2 linked regions of the Anolis sagrei genome follow. The protein of the gene in region 2 interacts with the protein of the main gene of each other region in a biochemical or structural test. Links are inferred from orthologs where the notes say so. Each region holds a gene or a part of one and is shown on either strand. Other genes may lie near its edges. The genes, in order: YWHAQ and CDC25B.

Evidence for each region.
Region 1: the proteins of CDC25B (region 2) and YWHAQ form a complex in vitro, tested with the Homo sapiens proteins (2 studies listed by BioGRID). The link is inferred for Anolis sagrei from reciprocal best matches to the Homo sapiens genes CDC25B and YWHAQ.

Annotation. Positions count from the first base shown.
Region 1 is NC_090021.1:130,706,585-130,716,679, forward strand, and holds the start of YWHAQ (14-3-3 protein theta), read left to right. Parts: upstream 1-5,629; 5' UTR 5,630-5,890; intron 5,891-9,896; 5' UTR 9,897-9,985; coding exon 9,986-10,095. UniProt on the Homo sapiens protein: Adapter protein implicated in the regulation of a large spectrum of both general and specialized signaling pathways. Binds to a large number of partners, usually by recognition of a phosphoserine or phosphothreonine motif.
Region 2 is NC_090025.1:1,198,333-1,209,028, reverse strand, and holds the start of CDC25B (M-phase inducer phosphatase 2), read right to left. Parts: upstream 4,146-10,696; 5' UTR 4,024-4,145; coding exon 3,929-4,023; intron 1-3,928. UniProt on the Homo sapiens protein: Tyrosine protein phosphatase which functions as a dosage-dependent inducer of mitotic progression. Directly dephosphorylates CDK1 and stimulates its kinase activity.

The sequences.
Region 1 (10,095 bases), on a different chromosome or scaffold from region 2:
ATTTCCAAGTAGCTATGGTTACCATCGGACCATTTGTACATTATGACTCAGAACATAATTTAAGCAACATAGAAAGAAAAAAAATGTTTTCCAGTTGCTTTGGGTGGATGCGGTCTGAGTTCATTTTACTAAATGCCATTGTTACAGGACATTTTCCATATGGGATAAAGGGACAGGGTTATGATTTCTGTTCTAGCCACCATCTGAATTAAACCTCAGTTCCACATTGTTGGCTGAATTTTGAAATGTCTTGGTTTTTCTCTCTCCACTCCACTTTCACCTTTTGGCCTCAGCTTTCTTCAGTTTCTGCAGGCTGAGGCCCCTTCCACACAGCTGCATAAAATCCTACATTTTCTGCTTTCAAATGGAATACATGGCATGACTCAGATAACCCAGTTCAAAGCAGATATAGTGGGATTTTCTGCCTTGATATTCTGGGTTGTTTGGAAGGGTCCTTAGAGAGGAGGGGAGAGTCTTGCCTTTTCCAGTACATTCAGGCACAAGGAACCTCAAGTGCATCTACAATGTGGAATTAATGCAGTTGGACACCACTTTAACTGCTATGGCTGCATGCTATGGAACCATGGGAGTTTAAGGCTATATTGCCCTATATCTATTCTCTGTTTTGAACTGGATTATATGAGTCTCCACTATCAGATAATCAGGGATAAGAAGATAATTTGGGATTTTTTTTTCATGTCAGGAGTGACTTGAGAAACTGCAAGTAGCTTCTGGTGTGAGAGATTTTAACTATTTTAATATGTGATATTATAGATGTATTTAACTATGTTGTGCTCCATCTTGAGTAGAAAGCAGAGGCAGGTAATAAATAAAATATTATTTATTAAATGGAAACAATTAAAAATAGAACAGCTTTCAAATAAAAGCTACTTCTTCAAAAACATCCAGTCTGCAAAGGCCTTTTTATGAAGATGCCTATTATTATTATTATTATTATTATTATTATTATTTTATATTATACTTATTATTTTACTTGTCTCACCTAAAAATAGGGGGTACTGATATAAGCAATGCAGGTGCTTCTCGCCATCCCAAGAAAGGCACCCCAAATCTTAGAAGCCACCACTGAAAACACATTGTCTTTGTATCCCTACCAAAGAAGATTGCAGGAACAGTTCGGTTTAAACTTCAATGCAGGAACTGGATGCTTAGATCTCAGAGAGATGCTTTGGACTATGGACTGTTGCTTCTAAGGAAAATGCCCTGTGATACCTACAAAGATAAACTACTACAAAATCCTATTGTAACTGGATTCATAAGCAAAGTGCCTGTATGCTGTATACATGAAGTTTTGTGAGTAAATCAACTGTTACTTTTAAAGAAGACTTTATTTTGTCTCTTGAGAGCATGATTTAAAGGCAAATATATTTTAAGGGAGAGTAGATCTTTTTGGGCAACTAAAAAGGAATACTTCTGAAACTCTGCTAAATATATGTTTTTGTTCATTGACATGTCTTTGTCCTTAGCAGTTCAAAGACATACCTAGGTACATCAGTTCAACAGCTGAGAGACCTAGTTGCCTTGCATGAATGCTGGTGAAAGCAATTTTTTTCCCCAAAAGGTTGTGATTTCTAACAAGGTCATGCCTTTCCATTGATGAGTGGATTTCCAAAAAGGTTATGAATCCCATTTCCCAAATGGTTTTGGAGAGTCACATTTTCCAAAAAGGGCGATTGTGCCGGAGGTGATAATGTAGGTAACCTGGCCCCTCAAACTATGGGTAATGTTTATTTTTTATTTATTGTTGATTTGATGTGTTATTATTTGTTCACTTTCTTTTTATGTATCTAACTGCACTTCTTCATGTTATGACCTGCCCTGAGTCCCTCGGGGAGATGGGCCTGGGTACAAATAAAGATTAATATTACTATGTTTTTTTTAAAAAAAATAATGTTATTGAAAATTTTTACATAGTAGGTTGATATTACTATGTTAAGGATCAGTGTAGATGTGTATGTTGTGTTGTTGGACTCAGACTACCACCAGTCCTGGACATCTTCCACTAATGGGTTCCATTTAAAGAATAAAACAAAATGACATCTTCCCTATGCTCTTTATGCAAATCGCATATTTTTCTAGACCTACTCATTCCACCAAGACATTGATATAATGCAACTCAAAATTCTCAAAGTGTCACAAATCCTTAGTTAAACTTACCACAACAACTCCAAGTGATGGGGTATCCTACCTGCTCTGTGACTTTACACAACATACTCATACATCTATATAAATAAAAATGTAATGTTAGTTTGTGGGATTAACATAACTCAAAAACCACTGGACGAATTGACACCAAATTTAGAAACAATAACACCTATCAGGCCAACAAGTGACCATCACCCATAAAAAAAATTGAAAAACACAGCAAAAAATGCTTTAAAAGCATTTTTTTAAAAAAAAAAATACAATGCATGCACAAAACCACATATACAAAAAATATATACACTCATATACACATACAAAATACATATACACAGACTGGGCCACAGCAACGTGTGGCATGGGATGGCTAGTACTGTATAAGAAAGCAACAAGTAGGTAGACCCAATATCCTTTCTAACAAAATAGGGTAGGTTTTTTCTATTTAAGGTAATGATTCTCAGAAGATGATCAATAACAATCCTGCTAATTTTGAAAACACTGATCAGGTTATGTTAAAGATTCCCAAGCTCTCATTTGATTTTTGTTTTGCTATTATGTATAAGAGACACCGTTTTATTAGGCTGTAGGGGCAATGGCTCACCAGAACATGGCATATAATGGGACTTGAGCATCCACGGATTGGAGTATCCACAAAAGATCCTGGAACCAAACCATAGCAGATTTCAAGGGTTCAATATATGCCTACCGAGCCCACACTTTGCACATCAGAGAAAGTGAGGCTGAACCCCTGGAAGTTCATGCCAAATATTATTATGATACTTTTCACCTGCGCTCACAACTTCTGAGGATGCCTGTCAAGAGATGTGGGCAAAACGTCAGGAGAGAATGCTTCTGGAACACAGCCATACAGCCTGGAAAAAATCACAGCAACTTAATTGTTATTATTAAAATGATTTTAAAATATTATTTAATTTAAATATGTTATATTTAAGGTGACATTTCTTTTTTGTTGTTGATGCAACAGATTCAGCAGCCATTACTGTTGCTGTGGACAAGATACTTGGAGGGATGAGAGTGACCGCAGGGGGATTGGCAGAGTGGGTGAAGGTGGTGGTTAATGCCTCCCTTTGGGAAAATAACATTCCAGTGAGCTCAAAACAAGCTGTGATAAAAACTGCTGTTGAAAAAACCATCACTGGACCCCACTCAATTCGTCAACTATCGACCTGTTTCCAATCTACCCTTCTTGGGCAAAGTCCTGGAATGTATGGTGGCCTCACAACTCAAGGTATTCTTGGAAGACATGGATTATCTGGACCCAGCACAGTCTGGTTTTAGGCCGGGACATGGTACCAAGACAGCCTTGGTTGCTTTAGTGGATAATCTACGCCAGGTGCTAGACAGGGGGAGTGTGTCCCTGTTGGTTCTGCTGGACCTCTCAGCGGCCTTCAATACCATTGATCACAGTATCCTTCTGGGATGCCTCACAGGAATGGGCCTTGGAAGCACTGTTTTGCAGTGACTCCAGTCCTTTCTGGAGGGTCGCATCCAGAAGGTGTTGTTGCGGGACACCTGTTCAACTCCACAACCATTGTCTTGTGGGGTTCTGCAGGGCTCAATACTGCCCCCATGTTATTTAACATCTACATGAAGCCACTAGGGGAGATCATCTGGAGTTTTGGGGTGCGGTGTCACCTGTATGCAGATGACATCCAACTGGACTGGATGAGGGCAAACAAATAGAAATTGAATTCAGACAAGACAGAGGTACTCCTGGTCAGTCGTAAGGCTGAACAGGGCATAGGGTTACAGCCTGTGTTAGACGGGGTTACACTCCCCCTGAAGGTGCAGGCTTGCAGCTTGGGTGTGATCCTGGATTCATAGTTGAGCCTGGAACCTCAGGTCTGGGTGGTGACCAGGAGAGCATTTGCACAATTAAAACTTGTGTGCCAGCTGTGCCCGTACCTTGAGAAGTCTGATTTGGCAATAGTAGTCCATGTTCTGGTTACATCCCATATGGACTACTGCAACGTGCTCTACGTGGGGTTGCCTTTGAAGACTGTCTGGAAGCTAGAAATGGTCCAGCGTGCGGCAGCCAGGTTACTAAGAGGAGCGGCGCTCAGGGAGCATACAACTCCACAGTGCGCCAGCTCCACTGGCTGCCAGTGTGCTACCAGGCACAATTAAAAGTGCTGGCTTTAGCCTATAAAGCCCTAAACAGTTCTGGCCCAACTTACCTATCCGAACATGTCTCCCCTTATGAACCTTCCAGGAATTTAAGATCATCTGGGGAGGCCCTGCTCTTGATTCCACCTGCCTCACAGGTGGGCTTGGTGGGGATGAGGGACAGGGCCTTCTCAGTGGTGCCCCCTCAGCTGTGGAACTCCCTTTCTGGGGATATTAGATCGGCCCTCTCCCTCCTGACCTTTAGGAAAAATCTGGCTCTTCGACCAAGCTTTTGGAACCTCATTGTAACCAGATATACTGTGAACGGATATGGAACGACTTGACGATGCAAATGGACATGGATTTAAACCTGGAAGTCATTTTTTATAGTTTTAAATTGTTTTAATATGAATTTTATTATGTGATTTAATGTATTTACGTGTCTTCGGCATCTAATTGTGGCCAGTCTGTATGCCGCCCTCAGTCGCCTTTGGGCTAAAAAGGGCAGGATAAAAGTGTGATAAATAAATCCATACATAAATATATAACGAAGGGCCGCGTTTGCAAGGCAAGGCAAGGGGCGAAGCATCAGAACTCATTAGCTTTGCAAAAGCCTCTTCCTGGCGCAGAGGAAAGGGTATATTGATAGGGATTAGGAGAGGAGCTGCCGCTATTTCTGGATCCCCGCGAGGCCATGGCTGGTCATGCCTTGTAACGTTGCCCGCTAAGCCCCTGCGAAAGCCACCCTCCTTGGCTTTGAAGGCGGGATGCCTGCTCCAATTCCGGCATTTCCTCCGCATGGAGGACTCAAGGTCTTTATCTGCGGCTCGCATTCCTCCCCTGAAGACTTTGACCTTCCTTCCTGTGCTGCTTGGTGGAGGCAGCAGCAGCAACTCAGCATGCATGGCAAACCCTCCTCCTCCTCCTCCTCTCCCGTTTGCTTTTCCCTCCCGCTTTGCAAGGAGCAGCACGAGACGGTGCCTGACTCCCTGCCCTCGCTTCCGCACCGTCTCGTGCCTCGCCCTGGCTCCTAGGGAAGAGCCGCTTTTGCGCATGTGCGGGGGAGAAAAAAAAAAAGAACAAGGGAGAGGAGAGGAGGGGGGTTGTAGCGGCGTCGCTATGGCGACAGTGACGTCATCCCACCCTGGATCTAATTGGAGGAAACCCCGTGGCCCCAGCTGCCGCAAGCACCGGCCAACCGAGCTTGGGCCCTGCTGGTTAGCTTAGTCCTCTCCGCGGCCGCGCGCATGGCTGCCATTGGCCGCCAGGGACCTCGAAGGCGGGGCCCGGGCAGGGATCGCCGGTGCCGATTGGCCGAGCCGCGAGAGCGCGGGCCCTTGCCGCGGAGTGGGTTCGCGCTTTGTGCCAACGCCCTGTAGCAGCGACGCTGTTCCTCGCGCCTGCGACGGGAGCGGCTTTCTGTCTCTCTCTCTCTCTCTCTCTTCCTCCCCCGCCCTCCTCCTTCCTCTCCTTCCTTCCGTCCTTCCTTGCTTCCTTCCTTCCTTCCGAGCGCAGTCGACTTGAGCAGAAGGCGCGCGCCGGCACGGCCTCGCGCCCCCCTGAGACTCAGCAGCGGCAGCAGCAGCAGCGGCGGACTCAGGTGAGGGAAAGGGGTCGAGGAAGAAAAAAAAGAGAGAGAGGGCGCGAGGGCACGTCCTCGCGCCGCGGGTGGCCTCGCCTCTCTTCGCCTCTCCTCGCGGTGGCGTCCATTTTGTGGAGGACGGAAGAGCCGCGGAGGGAAGAGAGGCAGCTAGAAAGAGAGAGACACACACACACACACACAGAGAAAGAGAGGCGGCACCTTCACCACCAGCGCCGCCATTTCGCACCGGCCTTTTCTGGAAGGCAAGGGAGGCGCCTCTCGGTCGAGTGGGCCTTCCCCTGCCCTGCCCGCTCACCTTCTTTTCCTGCCGCCCTTCTGAAGGGAGGTGGGGGAGCCCTTCTTCCTTTGTACCTCCTCATCCCCTTCCTGATCCCCTTGTGTTTCACCGTTTTGCTTTCACTCCTCTCTCCCCTCACTCCCTTTTGCTGTCCTCTCTTTCCGCCTCCTTCCCCTTTTTTCTTCCCTCCCCTCCCCCATTTTCCTCCTTCCCTCCTTCCCCTCCCTTCTGCGGACAAAGATTTCACACCTTGGGCGCGCCCTCCTCTTTCTCCTCGCTCCCTCCTTCTTCTCCCTTCCACACAGCCCTCTTTCCCAGAATATCAAGTCAGGAAATCCCACAATACTTGCTTCGAACCGGGGTATCTTGGGGGCCCTTCCACACAACCCTCTATCCCAGAATATCAAGGCAGGAAATACCTGCTTTGTACAGGGTTATCTGAGGGCCCTTCCACACAGCCCTCTTTTCCAGAATATCAAGGCAGGAAATCCCACAATACCTGCTTTGAACCGGGGTATCTTGGGGGCCTTTCCATACAACCCTCTATTCCAGAATATCAAGGCAGGAAATACCTGCTTTGAACCAGGGTATCTTGGGGGCCCTTCCACACAACCTGCTATCCCAGAATATCAAGGCAGGAAATCCCACAATACTTGCTTTGAACCGGGGTATCTGGGGGCCCTTCCACACAACTCTCTATCCCAGAATATCTCACATTATTTGCTTTGAATTTGGATATATAGAATTGTGGACTCAGATAACCAAGGGCCCTTCCACATAGCTGAATAAAATCTCGCATTTCTGCTTTGAACTGGAATATATAGAAGTGTGGGCTCAGGGCCCTTCCACATTACTATATAACCCAGTTCAAAGCAGATAATGTGAGATTATATACAGATGTGTGGAAGGGGCCTTAGATAACTCAGCGCCCTTCCACACAGCCCTATATCCCAAAATATCTAGTTAGAAAATCCCTCATCTGCGTGTGGACTCAGATTTATATATTTTTTGTTCGTGTCAGAAGCGACCTGAGAAAGTGCAAGTCTCTTCTGGTGTGAGAGAATAAGCTGACTGCAAGGACGTTGCCCAGGGGACGCCCAGATGATTTTGATGTTTTATCATCCTGTGGACTCAGATCACTCAGTTCAAAGATATTCTGGGATATAGGGCTGTATGGAAGGCCCATTACCTTTGAAAGGAGTCTTACCCACACAGTGATGTGAAAGTCACTCTATGTTGGAATCCTGATTTTTTTACTTATTCTATTTTGCCAGGCATTGACAACACCTGAATAGTTCAGAATATCTGCCAGCCTCATATGACCAACCAGGGAAGGGCAGGGTCAGACAGTGCATGGACACAAAAGCCCTTTTTGATTTGGGGCCCTTCCACACAACCATATAACCCAGAATATCAAGGCAGGAAATCCCACAATATCTGCTTTCAGGTGGGTTATCTGAGGGCCCTTCCACTCAGCCCTATATCCCAGAATATCTGCTGGGTTTGAGTTCCTACTCAGATAATGTGCAATTTTCTGCCTTGATATTCTGGGACATAGGGCTGTGTGGAAGGGCCCTAAATTATCTGAATCCACACTGCCGTATATTCCAGTTCAAAGCAGATTTTCTGCCATGATATTCTGGGATATAGGACTGTGTGGAAGAGCCATCAGATAACCCAGTTCAAAGCAGATATTGTTAGATTTTCTGCCTTGATATTCTGGGCTATATGACTCGGTGTGGAAAGGCTCCCACTCCTGGCCTTTCTTCTTGGCCCCTCTTTTGGCTTTATTCCTGTTGCTCATTTCCTTGTTTTGCCTGCCAGGCTTTCCCACCTCAAGGTGCATTTATACTGCAGAGTGAATGCATCATGGCACCCCTTTGTAACTGCCATGGATCAGTGCCGTGAAATCCGAGGTCTATAGATCTGTGAAGCACCTGCCCTCTTAGGCACAGATGGCTAAACACCCACCCTTCTACACAGCTATGTAACCCAGAATATTAAAGCAGATAATCCACGATATCTGCTTTGAACTGGGACCCCTTCCTCACAGCGAATCCCACATTTTCTGCTTTGAACTGGAATATATGGCAGTGTGGACTCAGATAGCCCAGTTCAAAGCCGATATTGTGGATTTTCTGCTTAGATATTCTGGGTTATATGGCTGTGTGGAAGGACCCTGGGTTATCTGGGTCCATACTGCCATATATTCCAGTTCAAAACAGGAAATGTGGGTTTTTATTCAGTTCAGTGGGCCCTTCCACACAGCCCTATATCCTAGAATATCAAGGGAGGACATCCCACATTATCTGAGTGTGGACTCAGATAACCCAGTTCAAAGCAGATATTTTGGGATTTTCTGCCTTGATGTTCTGGGTTATTGGACTGTGGAAGGGGCCCCAGGGCCCTTCCACAGAGCTATATAACACAGAGTATCAAGACAAATAATGCATAATAACTGCTTTGAACCAGGTTATCTGAGTCCACACTGCCATATATTCCAGTTCAAAGCAAATAATGTGGGATTTTATTCAGCTGTGTGGAAAGGGCCCCAGTAAAAGGGCAACTCCCAGGAGTCCACAGGATTGAACCATGCCAAGCAAAGGGGGGTGTCGACTGCATTAATTCAGCAGAATAGACGCAGCCTTTGCCTCTCCCGCACCCGGCTTCCCTATTCTAGCCCTGCATGCCTCTGACGCCCTTCTGCACATGTCTTGCATTCTTATTAAAGGCTGCCCTTGATTTGAAGGCTTGATTCTTATTTCTGCAAATAGCACTCCTCCCCATGACTTGATCTCTTTGCTTCTGATTTACAAAAGAAGGGGCTGAATAGCTTTCAGATGCTGTTGAACTGCAGCTCCCATCCTTCATAGCTATGGATGTTGGGTAGAAATGATTGGAACCACAGTTCAACAGCAACACCCAGAATATCCAATCCTGAAGTAGGGACCTCTGTCCCGATCACTATTTCTAAGCACTGTAGGTACACCTGCACTGCACAATTTATGCAGTTCCATACTTGGTTAAGGGTCATGGCCCAAATATATGGGATCATGGGAGTTGTGGTTTTGCAAGGTCTTAAGCCTTTTGTGCCCAAGATGTCTTGTGCCCCACCAAACCACAATTCCCAGGATTCTACAGCACTGAGCCACTGTCCTTAAATTAATGTCAAACCGCATCAGTTCTACAGTGTAGATGCGGCCTTAATCGTAGCAACACAGTTTGAAGCTGCATTGTATGTGTCTACACCATACATGCACAACCCGTGACGCTCAGAAGTGTTTTGGACTTCAGCATTCTGACCATTGGACTAAACTAGGGCTCCTGGGAGTTGGATTCCCAAACATCTGGAGACCACAGATTGTGCTGGTCTGGTCTACATTGACCATATAGTGCAGATTCAAACTGTATTATGTGACAGTGCAGATCCAGCCGGATTGCTATCTTAGGCTGCATCTGTCATATAATCCAGTTCAAAGCAGATAATCTGGATTTTATATGGCAGTGTAGATGGGGCCTTAGGTGACATCCTCAGGGGAGGAGGATCATTTGACCTTTTCTAAAGCTATGTTTGTTCTGTTCTTGCATCTACATTGGCAGCACTTCACTGTTGCTCTCTTTCTCATTGGCCTGACTCCCCACATCCATAGTAGCTCCTCTAGTTGCTTTGAGCAATTGCTTACTTGGAATGAGCACAGATTTCAGAACGTCTCCTTGTGCTTGCAGGTTTTCTGGTGCCTTCTCTTGACTGTGTGAAAGGCCTCTCTCTCCTCCCCAAGCCAGTTGTCTCGCTGCTTATACTGCTGCTGGCCAACATGGAGAAGACCGAGATGATCCAGAAGGCCAAGCTGGCTGAACAGGCGGAGCGCTATGATGACATGGCTACCTGCATGAAGGCAGTGACAGAACAGGGCGCTGAATTGTC
Region 2 (10,696 bases):
AAGGAAGGAAGGAAGTGAAGGAGACTCATTGCAAAACGAGGGCCAAATGTGCTTGCGATGGGTGAGCGAGGTCCCTCCTGCAAAAGCAAAGCTTGGGCCACTTTCCCCACGTGTTTGAGGAGACAGAGAATTGGGGAAAGGACACGGATGACCACGGAAGACAAATGGAGTCAGAACAAGGCCAAACAATAACACCACTAACCTATTAACATTAATAACAACAGTATATTGACAGAAATATATAATCATTATTGTTGTTATTAACATACTATTAGGATTAATATGAATGATACCAATATATTTATTGTTATTATTAGTCATAATACTCCTTTGGGGGGGGGCAAGGGGTCTCTTGGAGTGGCCCCCGTTGAGGCCTGCAAAACAGGGGAGCCCCCCCTCCCAGCACCCCACTCACACAACTATTGATACAGATATATATATTTATAGAGATATATTTATATAGAGAGAGACTGAAATAAAAGTAGATATACATAGTCAGAGATAAATATATTTATAGTGATACAGATTTTATAGCTATATAACGAAAAAGAGAGCAATATAGAAAGGTATTTATAGAGGGATAGATATATTTATATTTATATAGAGAGAGATTTATAGAGAAATACAGATATATATATATAGAGAGAGAGAGAGAAGCAGAGATATATTTAAGATATATATATTTATAGAGAGATATTTATAGAGAGATATTTATACAGAAAGATATATATATATATATATATATATATATATATATATATGGAGATATATAGATATATGTAAATGTAGATATATATAGCGATATATATATATATATAGTTTTATATAGAGAGAGAGATTAATAGACATATAGAGAAATAAATATTTATAGAGATATATTTATAGAGAGAGAAAGATATATTTACATATATATATATATATAGGAAGAGAGATATATATTTAAATGTAGATATATAGAGAGAGAGCCATAGAGAGATAGAGAAATACAGATATATATATAGTTAAGATATATATTTATTGAGAGATTAATAGACATTAAGAGAAATAGATATTTATAGAAAGATATATTTATATAAAGAGATATTTATACAGAAAGATATATTTACAGACATATATTGAAAGAGATATAGATATAAATATAGATATGTATTTATAGAGAGACCCAGAGAGATAGAGAAATATAGATACATATATTTATAGTTAGATATATATTTATTGAGAGGTTAATAGATATAATCTATAGATTATAGAGAGGTATATTGAGATATATAGAGATTGATATATATATATAGATTTTTATACAGAAGATATATTTACAGAGATAAAGATATATTTATTTATTTATTTATATAGAGAGAGATATTTAAATATAGATAAATATAGATTTAGAGACACAAAGAGACATAGAGAGTGAGAAATACAGATATATATATATATATTTATAGTTAGATGTATATCTATTGAGAGATTAATAGATATATAGAAATATATATATATATTTATAGAGACAGATTTAACAGATATATATATAGAGAAAGAAATTGATATATAGAGGTATTTGTACAGAAAGATATATACACAGAGAGAGAGAGAGAGAGAAAGAGATATATTTATAGATATATAGAGATATTTAAATATAGATAAATAGATATTTAGAGAGAGAAATACAGAGATGGATATATAGATAGATATCTAGAGAGAGAGACAGAGAGATTTAAGCGATATGTATATAGAGAGGGATTGATATATAGAGATATTTCTAGAGATGAAGAGATATATTTATAGATAGATATAGAGATATTTAAATATAAATATGTATTTACAGAGACAGAGAGAGTGAGAAATACAGAGATATATCTATTTATAATTAGATGTCTATCTATTGAGAAATGAATATATATAGAGAGAGGCACAGAGATATATTTAGTTAGATCTATTTTTATTGAGAGATTGATAGATATATAGAGAAATAGGTATTTATTTATAGGTAAATATATAGATATATTTAAATATATATAGAGATGCACAGAGAGATAAATGCGGAGAGAGATATTTATAGTTAGATATATATTTATTGAGAGATTAATAGATATATATAGAGAGATAGATATTTAGTTATAGATAGGCAGATATATATATATATTTAAATATATATATTTATAGAGATGCACAGAGATATATTTATAGTTAGATTTATTTTTATTGAGAGATTGATAGATATATAGAGAAATAGCTATTTAAAGAGAGAGATATATATACTTATAGAGACAGATATATTTAACAGATATATATAGAGAGAGAAATTGATATTTAGAGGTATTTCTACAGAAAGAGAGATATATACAGAGATAGAGAGAGATATATTTATAGATATAGAGAGATATTTAAACAGAGAGAAATATATATTTACATATGGAGAGAGAGAAATGCAGAGATGGATATATAGATATATAAATAGAGAGATATAGAGATATTTAAATATAGATAAAGAGATATTTAGAGAGAGAGAAATACAGATATATATATATATATATTTATTTATATATATTTATATATATTTATAATTAGATGTCTATCTATTGAGAGATTAATAGAGAGAGAGGCACAGAGATATATTTATAGTTAGATTTATTTTTATTTTTATTGAGAGATTGACGGATATATAGAGAAATAGATATTTAAAGAGAGATATATATTTATAGAGATATATTTAACAGATATATATATAAATTGATATATACAGAAATTTCTACAGAAAGATATATATATATATATACACACACACACACATACAGAGATAAAGAGATATATTTATAGATATTTAGAGATATTTAAACAGAGAGAAAGATATATTTACATATGGAGAGAGAGGGAGATAAATACAGAGATGGATATAGATATATAAATATATAGAGAGAAATAAATATATATTTATGGAGAGATATATTTATAGACAGAGATATATTTACAGAGATATATTTACAGAGATATATTTATAGATATATAGAGATATTTAAACAGAGATATTTAATAGATATAGATATTTAAATATAGATAAATAGATATTAGAGAGAGAAATACAGAGAGATATATATTTATAATTAGATGTCTATCTATTGAGAGATTAATAGATATAGAGAGAGGCACAGAGAGATATTTATAGTTAGATTTATTTTTATTGAGAGATTGATAGAGATATATATAGAGAAATAGGTATTTATTTATAGATAGGTAGATATATTTAAATATATAGAGAGATGCACAGAGAGATATTTATAGTTAGATTTTTATTGAGAGATAGATAGATAGAGACAGAGAAATATTTAACAGAGAGAGAAATTGATATTTAGAGGTATTTCTACAGAAAGATAAATATCTACAGAGATAAAGAGATATATTTATAGATATAGAGAGATATATTTAAACAGAGAGAAATATATATTTACATATAGAGAGAGAGAAGGGGGGAGAGAGAAATACAGAGATGGATATAGATATATAAATATATAGAGATATATTTATAGATATATAGAGATATATTTAAGCAGAGAGATATTTAACAGAGAGAGAGGAATACAGAGAGATATCTATTTATAATTAGATGTCTATCTATTGAGAGATTAATAGATATAGAGAGAGGCACAGAGAGATATTTATAGTTAGATTTATTTTTATTGAGAGATTGATAGAGATATAGAGAAATAGATATTTAAAGAGAGAGATATATTTATAGAGACAGAGATATATTCAATATAGAGAGAAATTGATATTTAGAGGTATTTCTACAGAAAGATATATATCTACAGAGATATAGAGAGAGATATTTAAACAGAGATTAATAGATATTTAGAGAGAGAGAGACACACACAGAGGGAAATACAGAGATGGATATAGATAGATATCTAGATATGTAAATAGAGAGACTGACCTTCCTAGGCCGGCCAGTCTGTCCATGTTGAGGGCCAGGCTGGCCACCGGGGAGAGGCCCCAACCCAAGCTGCTGGTGGGCCGGCGGGGATCCATGCTTTCTCTCGCCTTGCCTTGCCTTGCCTGCCTGCCTGCCTGCCTGCCTTCCTTCCTATACAACACACAGGCCAGGAGTAGGAAGGCGGCAGCGGCAGCAGTCCCACCGACTCCTCAGGAAGTCCAGGCCGAATGGAGCCAGCGCGGGAAGGAGGACCCGCTTTTATACCCAAGGGGCGGGGCCTCAGCCCAAGCCACGCCCCCGACACGCCCCCTCTATTGATATTCGAAAAATAACAGCGCCAAAGAGAGCAGCAGGCGGCAGCCAATCCGCGCGCAGGAAGGAGGGCAGGCACCCGGAAGTCAGGGAGGAAGGAAAGGCAAGCAGAAAGGAAAGAAGGAAGGAGCGGGTTTAAACCGCATCATTTATTATTATTTATTTATGTATTGCAGTTACTTCTACCCCGCCCTTCTCACCCCCGAGGGGGGACTCAGGGCGGCTTACAAACAAAGGCCCAAATTCGATGCCTGTCAAAATATACAGCATATATAAAACAGTATAAACATTTAGCAGCATTAAAACACATCACTACATAATATAATAAAAACAATTTCATGCACAGTGAGATTCAGAGTTCCGAAATGTCCATTCATTCCAACAATTCCTGCTCATCAATGAGTCCTTATTTTAGCTGCCAGAATGTCCAAAAGCTTGGTCCCAGATCCAGGCCTTCAGTTTTTTTCTGAACGACAGAAGGGAGGTCGCTGATCTGATCTCCCCGGGGAGTGAGTTCCACAGGTGAGGGGCCACCACCGAGAAGGCCCTGCTCCTCGTCCCCGCCAGCCTCGCTTGAGATAGAGGCGGGGTCGAGAGCAGGGCCTCCCCAGAAGATCTTAGACTCCGAGGTGGGATGTAGATGGAGATCCGTTCGGACAGATACACTGGGCCGGAACCGTATAGGGTTTTGTAGGTTAAAACCAGCACTTTGAATTGTGCTCGGAATTGGATCGGCAGCCAGTGGAGCTGATGTAGCAGGGGGGTGGTGTGCTCCCTGTACGCCGCTCCAGTGAGCAATCTGGCTGCTTCTCGCTGGACTAATTGTATAGACTACGAGATTGGTTATGATTCTATGATAAGACGAAGCGGATTATTTTAGTGTAATTAGATGATAGTGTATTAGTGATATGTTGTTTTTTTTGTCGTTGTAGTTATTGTAAAATGTGTTTTTTATATGTTGTACACCGCCGCGAGTCGCCCTAGGGCTGAGAGCGGCAGTTAACAAATGCAGCAAATAAATAAATAAAATAATAGTTTCCGAGCAGTCTTCAAAGGCAACCCCACGTAGAGTGCATTGCAGTAATCCAACCGGGATGTGACAAGAGCGTGGACCACCGTGGCCAGATCTGGCTTCTCAAGGTACGGGCGCAGCTGGCGCACAAGTTTTAATTGTGCGAAAGCTCTCCCGGCCACCGCTGAGACCTGGGGTTCCAGGCTCAGCGATGAGTCCAGGATCACTCCCATCAGCTCTACTGTGTAGACCAGGGGTCCTCAAACTTTTTAAGCAGAGGGCCAGGTCACAGTCCCTCAAACTGTTGGAGGGCCGGATTATAATTTGAAAAACAAAACAATAATAATAATAACTTTATTTTTTATTATTGTTATTGCTATTGTGGTTGTTCTTATAAGTGAGGGGCTAGGTGTGAAAAAGTAAGTGCCTGCCACCCCTGTCTTCGGGAGCGTCCACACAGTAGGGCTGATGCGGTTTAAACCCGCTCCTTCCTTCCTTCCTTCTTTCATGCTTGCCTTTGCTTCCTTCCCGACTTCCGGGTGCCTGCCCTCCTTCCTGCGCGCGGATTGGCTGCCGGCTGCTGGTCTCTTATTTGTAGTGTAAAAAACACTTAAAAACAATACAATAATTAAAATGTTAACAAATATAAACTTATTAGTATTCCAATGGGAAGTGTGGGCCTGCTTTTGGCTGATGAGATAGGGTTGTTGTTGTTGTTGTTGTGTGCTTTCAAGTCGTTTCAGACTTAGGTTGACCCTGAGCGAGGGCCGGGTTAATGACCTTGGAGGGCCACATCCGGCCCCCGGGCCATAGTTTGAGAGCCCCTGGTGTAGACGCAACCAAAAACACCGGTGGCAGGCACTTACTTTTTGACCCCTGTTGTTGTTCATTCGTTCAGTCGTCTCCGACTCTTCGTGACCTCATGGACCAGCCCACGCCAGAGCTCACTGTCAGCCGTCACCACCCCCAGTGTCTCCTTCAAGGTCAGTCCAGTCACTTCAAGGATGCCGTCCATCCATCTTGCCCTTGGTCGGCCCCTCTTCCTTTTGCCTTCCACCTTCCCCAGCATCATTGTCTTCTCTAGGTGACCCCACGCCAAAGCTCCCTGTCGGCCGTCACCACCCCCAACTCCTTCAAGGTCAGTCCAGTCCCTTCAAGGATGCCATCCATCCACCTTGCCCTTGGTCGGCCCCTCTTCCTTTTGCCTTCCACTTTCCCCAGCATCATTGTCTTCTCTAGGTGACCTCATGGACCAGCCCACGCCAAAGCTCCCTGTCGGCCGTCACCACCCCCAACTCCTTCAAGGTCAGTCCAGTCCCTTCAAGGATGCCATCCATCCACCTTGCCCTTGGTCGGCCCCTCTTCCTTTTGCCTTCCACTTTCCCCAGCATCATTGTCTTCTCTAGGTGACCTCATGGACCAGCCCACGCCAAAGCTCCCTGTCGGCCGTCACCACCCCCAACTCCTTCAAGGTCAGTCCAGTCCCTTCAAGGATGCCATCCATCCACCTTGCCCTTGGTCAGCCCCTCTTCCTTTTGCCTTCCACCTTCCCCAGCATCATTGTCTTCTCTAGGTGACCTCATGGACCAGCCCACGCCAAAGCTCCCTGTCGGCCGTCACCACCCCCAACTCCTTCAAGGTCAGTCCAGTCCCTTCAAGGATGCCATCCATCCACCTTGCCCTTGGTCGGCCCCTCTTCCTTTTGCCTTCCACTTTCCCCAGCATCATTGTCTTCTCTAGGTGACCTCATGGACCAGCCCACGCCAAAGCTCCCTGTCGGCCGTCACCACCCCCAACTCCTTCAAGGTCAGTCCAGTCCCTTCAAGGATGCCATCCATCCACCTTGCCCTTGGTCGGCCCCTCTTCCTTTTGCCTTCCACTTTCCCCAGCATCATTGTCTTCTCTAGGTGACCTCCTGGACCAGCCCACGCCAAAGCTCCTTGTCGGCTGTCACCACCCCCAGCTCCTTCAAGGTCAGTCCAGTCACTTCAAGGATGCCATCCCTCCACCTTGCCCTTGGTCGGCCCCTCTTCCTTTTGCCTTCCACTTTCCCCAGCATCATTGTCTTCTCTAGGTGACCTCATGGACCAGCCCACGCCAAAGCTCCCTGTCGGCCGTCACCACCCCCAACTCCTTCAAGGTCAGTCCAGTCCCTTCAAGGATGCCATCCATCCACCTTGCCCTTGGTCGGCCCCTCTTCCTTTTGCCTTCCACTTTCCCCAGCATCATTGTCTTCTCTAGGTGACCTCATGGACCAGCCCACGCCAAAGCTCCCTGTCGGCCGTCACCACCCCCAACTCCTTCAAGGTCAGTCCAGTCCCTTCAAGGATGCCATCCATCCACCTTGCCCTTGGTCGGCCCCTCTTCCTTTTGCCTTCCACTTTCCCCAGCATCATTGTCTTCTCTAGGTGACCTCCTGGACCAGCCCACGCCAAAGCTCCTTGTCGGCTGTCACCACCCCCAGCTCCTTCAAGGTCAGTCCAGTCACTTCAAGGATGCCATCCCTCCACCTTGCCCTTGGTCGGCCCCTCTTCCTTTTACCTTCCACTTTCCCCAGCATCATTGTCTTCTCTAGGTGATCTCCTGGACCAGCCCACACCAAAGCTCCCTGTCGGCCGTGGCCACCCCCAGCTCCTTCAAGGTCAGTCCAGTCACTTCAAGGATGCCATCCATCCACCTTGCCCTTGGTCGGCCCCTCTTCCTTTTGCCTTCCACTTTCCCCAGCATCATTGTCTTCTCTAGGTGACCTCCTGGACCAGCCCACGCCAGAGCTCCCTGTCGGCCGTCACCACCCCCAGGGTCTCCTTCAAGGTCAGTCCAGTCCCTCCAAGGATGCCATCCATCCATCTTGCCCTTGGTCGGCCCCTCTTCCTTTTGCCTTCCACTTTCCCCAGCATCATTGTCTTCTCTAGGTGACCTCCTGGACCAGCCCACGCCAGAGCTCCCTGTCGGCCGTCACCACCCCCAGGGTCTCCTTCAAGGTCAGTCCAGTCACCTCAAGGATGCCATCCATCCACCTTGCCCTTGGTCGGCCCCTCTTCCTTTTGCCTTCCACTTTCCCCAGCATCATTCCCTTCTCCAGGCTTTGCTGTCTCCTCATGATGTGGCATTCAAAGGACTTCAACTTTGTCTCTCATCTCCTTCCCTCCAGTGAGCAGCCGGGCTTTATTTCCTGGAGGATGGACTGGTTGGATCTTCTCGCAGCCCAAGGCACTCTCAGAACTTTCCTCCAACACCACAGCTCAAAAGCATCTCTCTTCCTTTGCTCAGCCTTCCCGAAGGTCTAGCTCTCACATCCGTAGGTGACTCCAGGGAAGACCATGGCTTGGACTAGGCAATGGATCTTGGTTGCCAGTCTGATGTCTCTGCTCTTGACTCTTTTATCGAGACTGGACATTGCTCTCCTCCCAAGAAGGAAGCGTCTCCTGATTTCCTGGCCACAGTCTGCGTCCACACTCATCTTTGCGCCTAGAAATACAAAGTCTGTCACGGCCTCCACATTTTCTCCCTCTATTTTCCAGTTGTCAATCATTCTTGTTGCCATAATCTTGGTTTTTTTGACGTTTAGCTGCAACCCGGCTTTTTTTTTTGACCCCTAGCCCATCAATAATAACAACAACAATAGTAACAATAATAATAATAATAAATACTATTTAATAAATAATAATAATAATAATAGTATAATAATAATAATAATAAGTAAAACATAAATAAAATAACAATAATATAAAATTAAAAATAATTAATAATAATATTTAATAAAATTATTATTATTAATAGTAATAAAAATTACTATTTAAAATAAATAAAATAATAAAATAAAATTAAAATAATTACTACAAATAATAATAACAATAATAATTAATAAAAATAATAATAAAACAATAAATGCAAAGACTCTGGCACAAACCAGTCAAGATGGTCCCAGTGGTGATGGGCACACCGGGTGCAGTGCCTCAAGACCTTGGTCTGCACTTAAAAACAATCGGCACCAACAAGATTACCATCTGCCATCTGCCAACAGGTGGCCATCCAGCCTTTGTAATATTAGTATTAAGAAGAAGAAGAAGAAGAAGTAAAAAATAAATTAAATGAAAAAAATTAATATAAATAATAATAATAAATTGAGGATTTAAAGATCGAACTGCAAAGACTCTGGCACAAGACAGTCAAGGGGGTCCCAGTGGTGATCGGCACACCAGGTGCAGTGGCTGAAGACCTTGGCCTGCACTTAAACACAATTGGCGCTGACAAGATTACCATCTGCCATTTGCAAAAGGCCACCTTACTGGGATCTGCACGCATTATTTGCCAATACATCACACAGTCCAAGATACTTGGGAAGGGTCCGACATGGGATCCAATACAACAGCCAGCAGAGTGATCTTGTCTGCTGTGGACTCATCTTTTTGTGTCTCAAATAATAATAATAATAACAACAACGACAACAACAGCCAGCAGAGTGACCTTGTCTGCTGTGTACCAATCTTGTTGTGTTTCAAATAATAATAAAATATTTAACGATTATGATGATGATGGTGATGGTTATTACTTTTTGCATCTGGAAAATCCTGCAAATCTCTTGGGAAGACAAGACAACAAATGTCAGCGTGTTGGAAGAAGAAGCAAAGACCACCAGCATTGAAGCGATGGTCCTCCGTCATCAACTCCGTTGGACCAGCCACATTGTCCGGATGCCAAAGGTCACCATCTCCCAAAGCAGTTGCTCTACTCCGAACTCAAGAACGGAAAACGGAATGTTGGTGGACAGGAAAAGAGATTGAAAGATGGGCTCAAAGCCAACCTTGAAAACTCTGCCATAGACACTGAGAACTGGGAAGCCCTGGCCCTTGAGCGCTCCAGCTGGAGGACAGCTGTGACCAGCAGTGCTGCAGAATTCGAAGAGGCACGAATGGAGGGTGAAAGAGAGAAACGTGCCGAGAGGAAGGCTCCTCAAGCTAACTCTGACTGAGACCGCCTTCCACCTGGAAACCGATGACCTCACTGCGGGAGATGATGCAGATCAAGAATAGGGCTCCACAGCCACCTATGGACCTACCCTGGGAGACTATCCTACTTGGCCAACGAGGAATCACCTAACTAACTGGCTTTTGTTCTGCAGATAAGACCCCAAGGGAGCTTTCTCTATCATCTTGCGGCCGTTATCTGGGTTCCGGCCTGGCCCATGTTTGCGCATATTTGTGTAATGGAAAGGGCTTTGGCTTCCGATAGGCGAAGGAGCCATAACAAAAGGGGAGCTCACCATGTGGAAATCGCCATGGAGCCAGAACCCTGAAGCCATAAGAAAGAGGCACATCAAGGACATACACATACGTGGCAACAAAGGTTTGGGATGGAACCATACAACCTATGAGAGCAGCAACCCAAGCAATGGAAGCTTTTGGGTGGAAAGGGCAAAGGAAACGGGAAACTGAAAAATATTG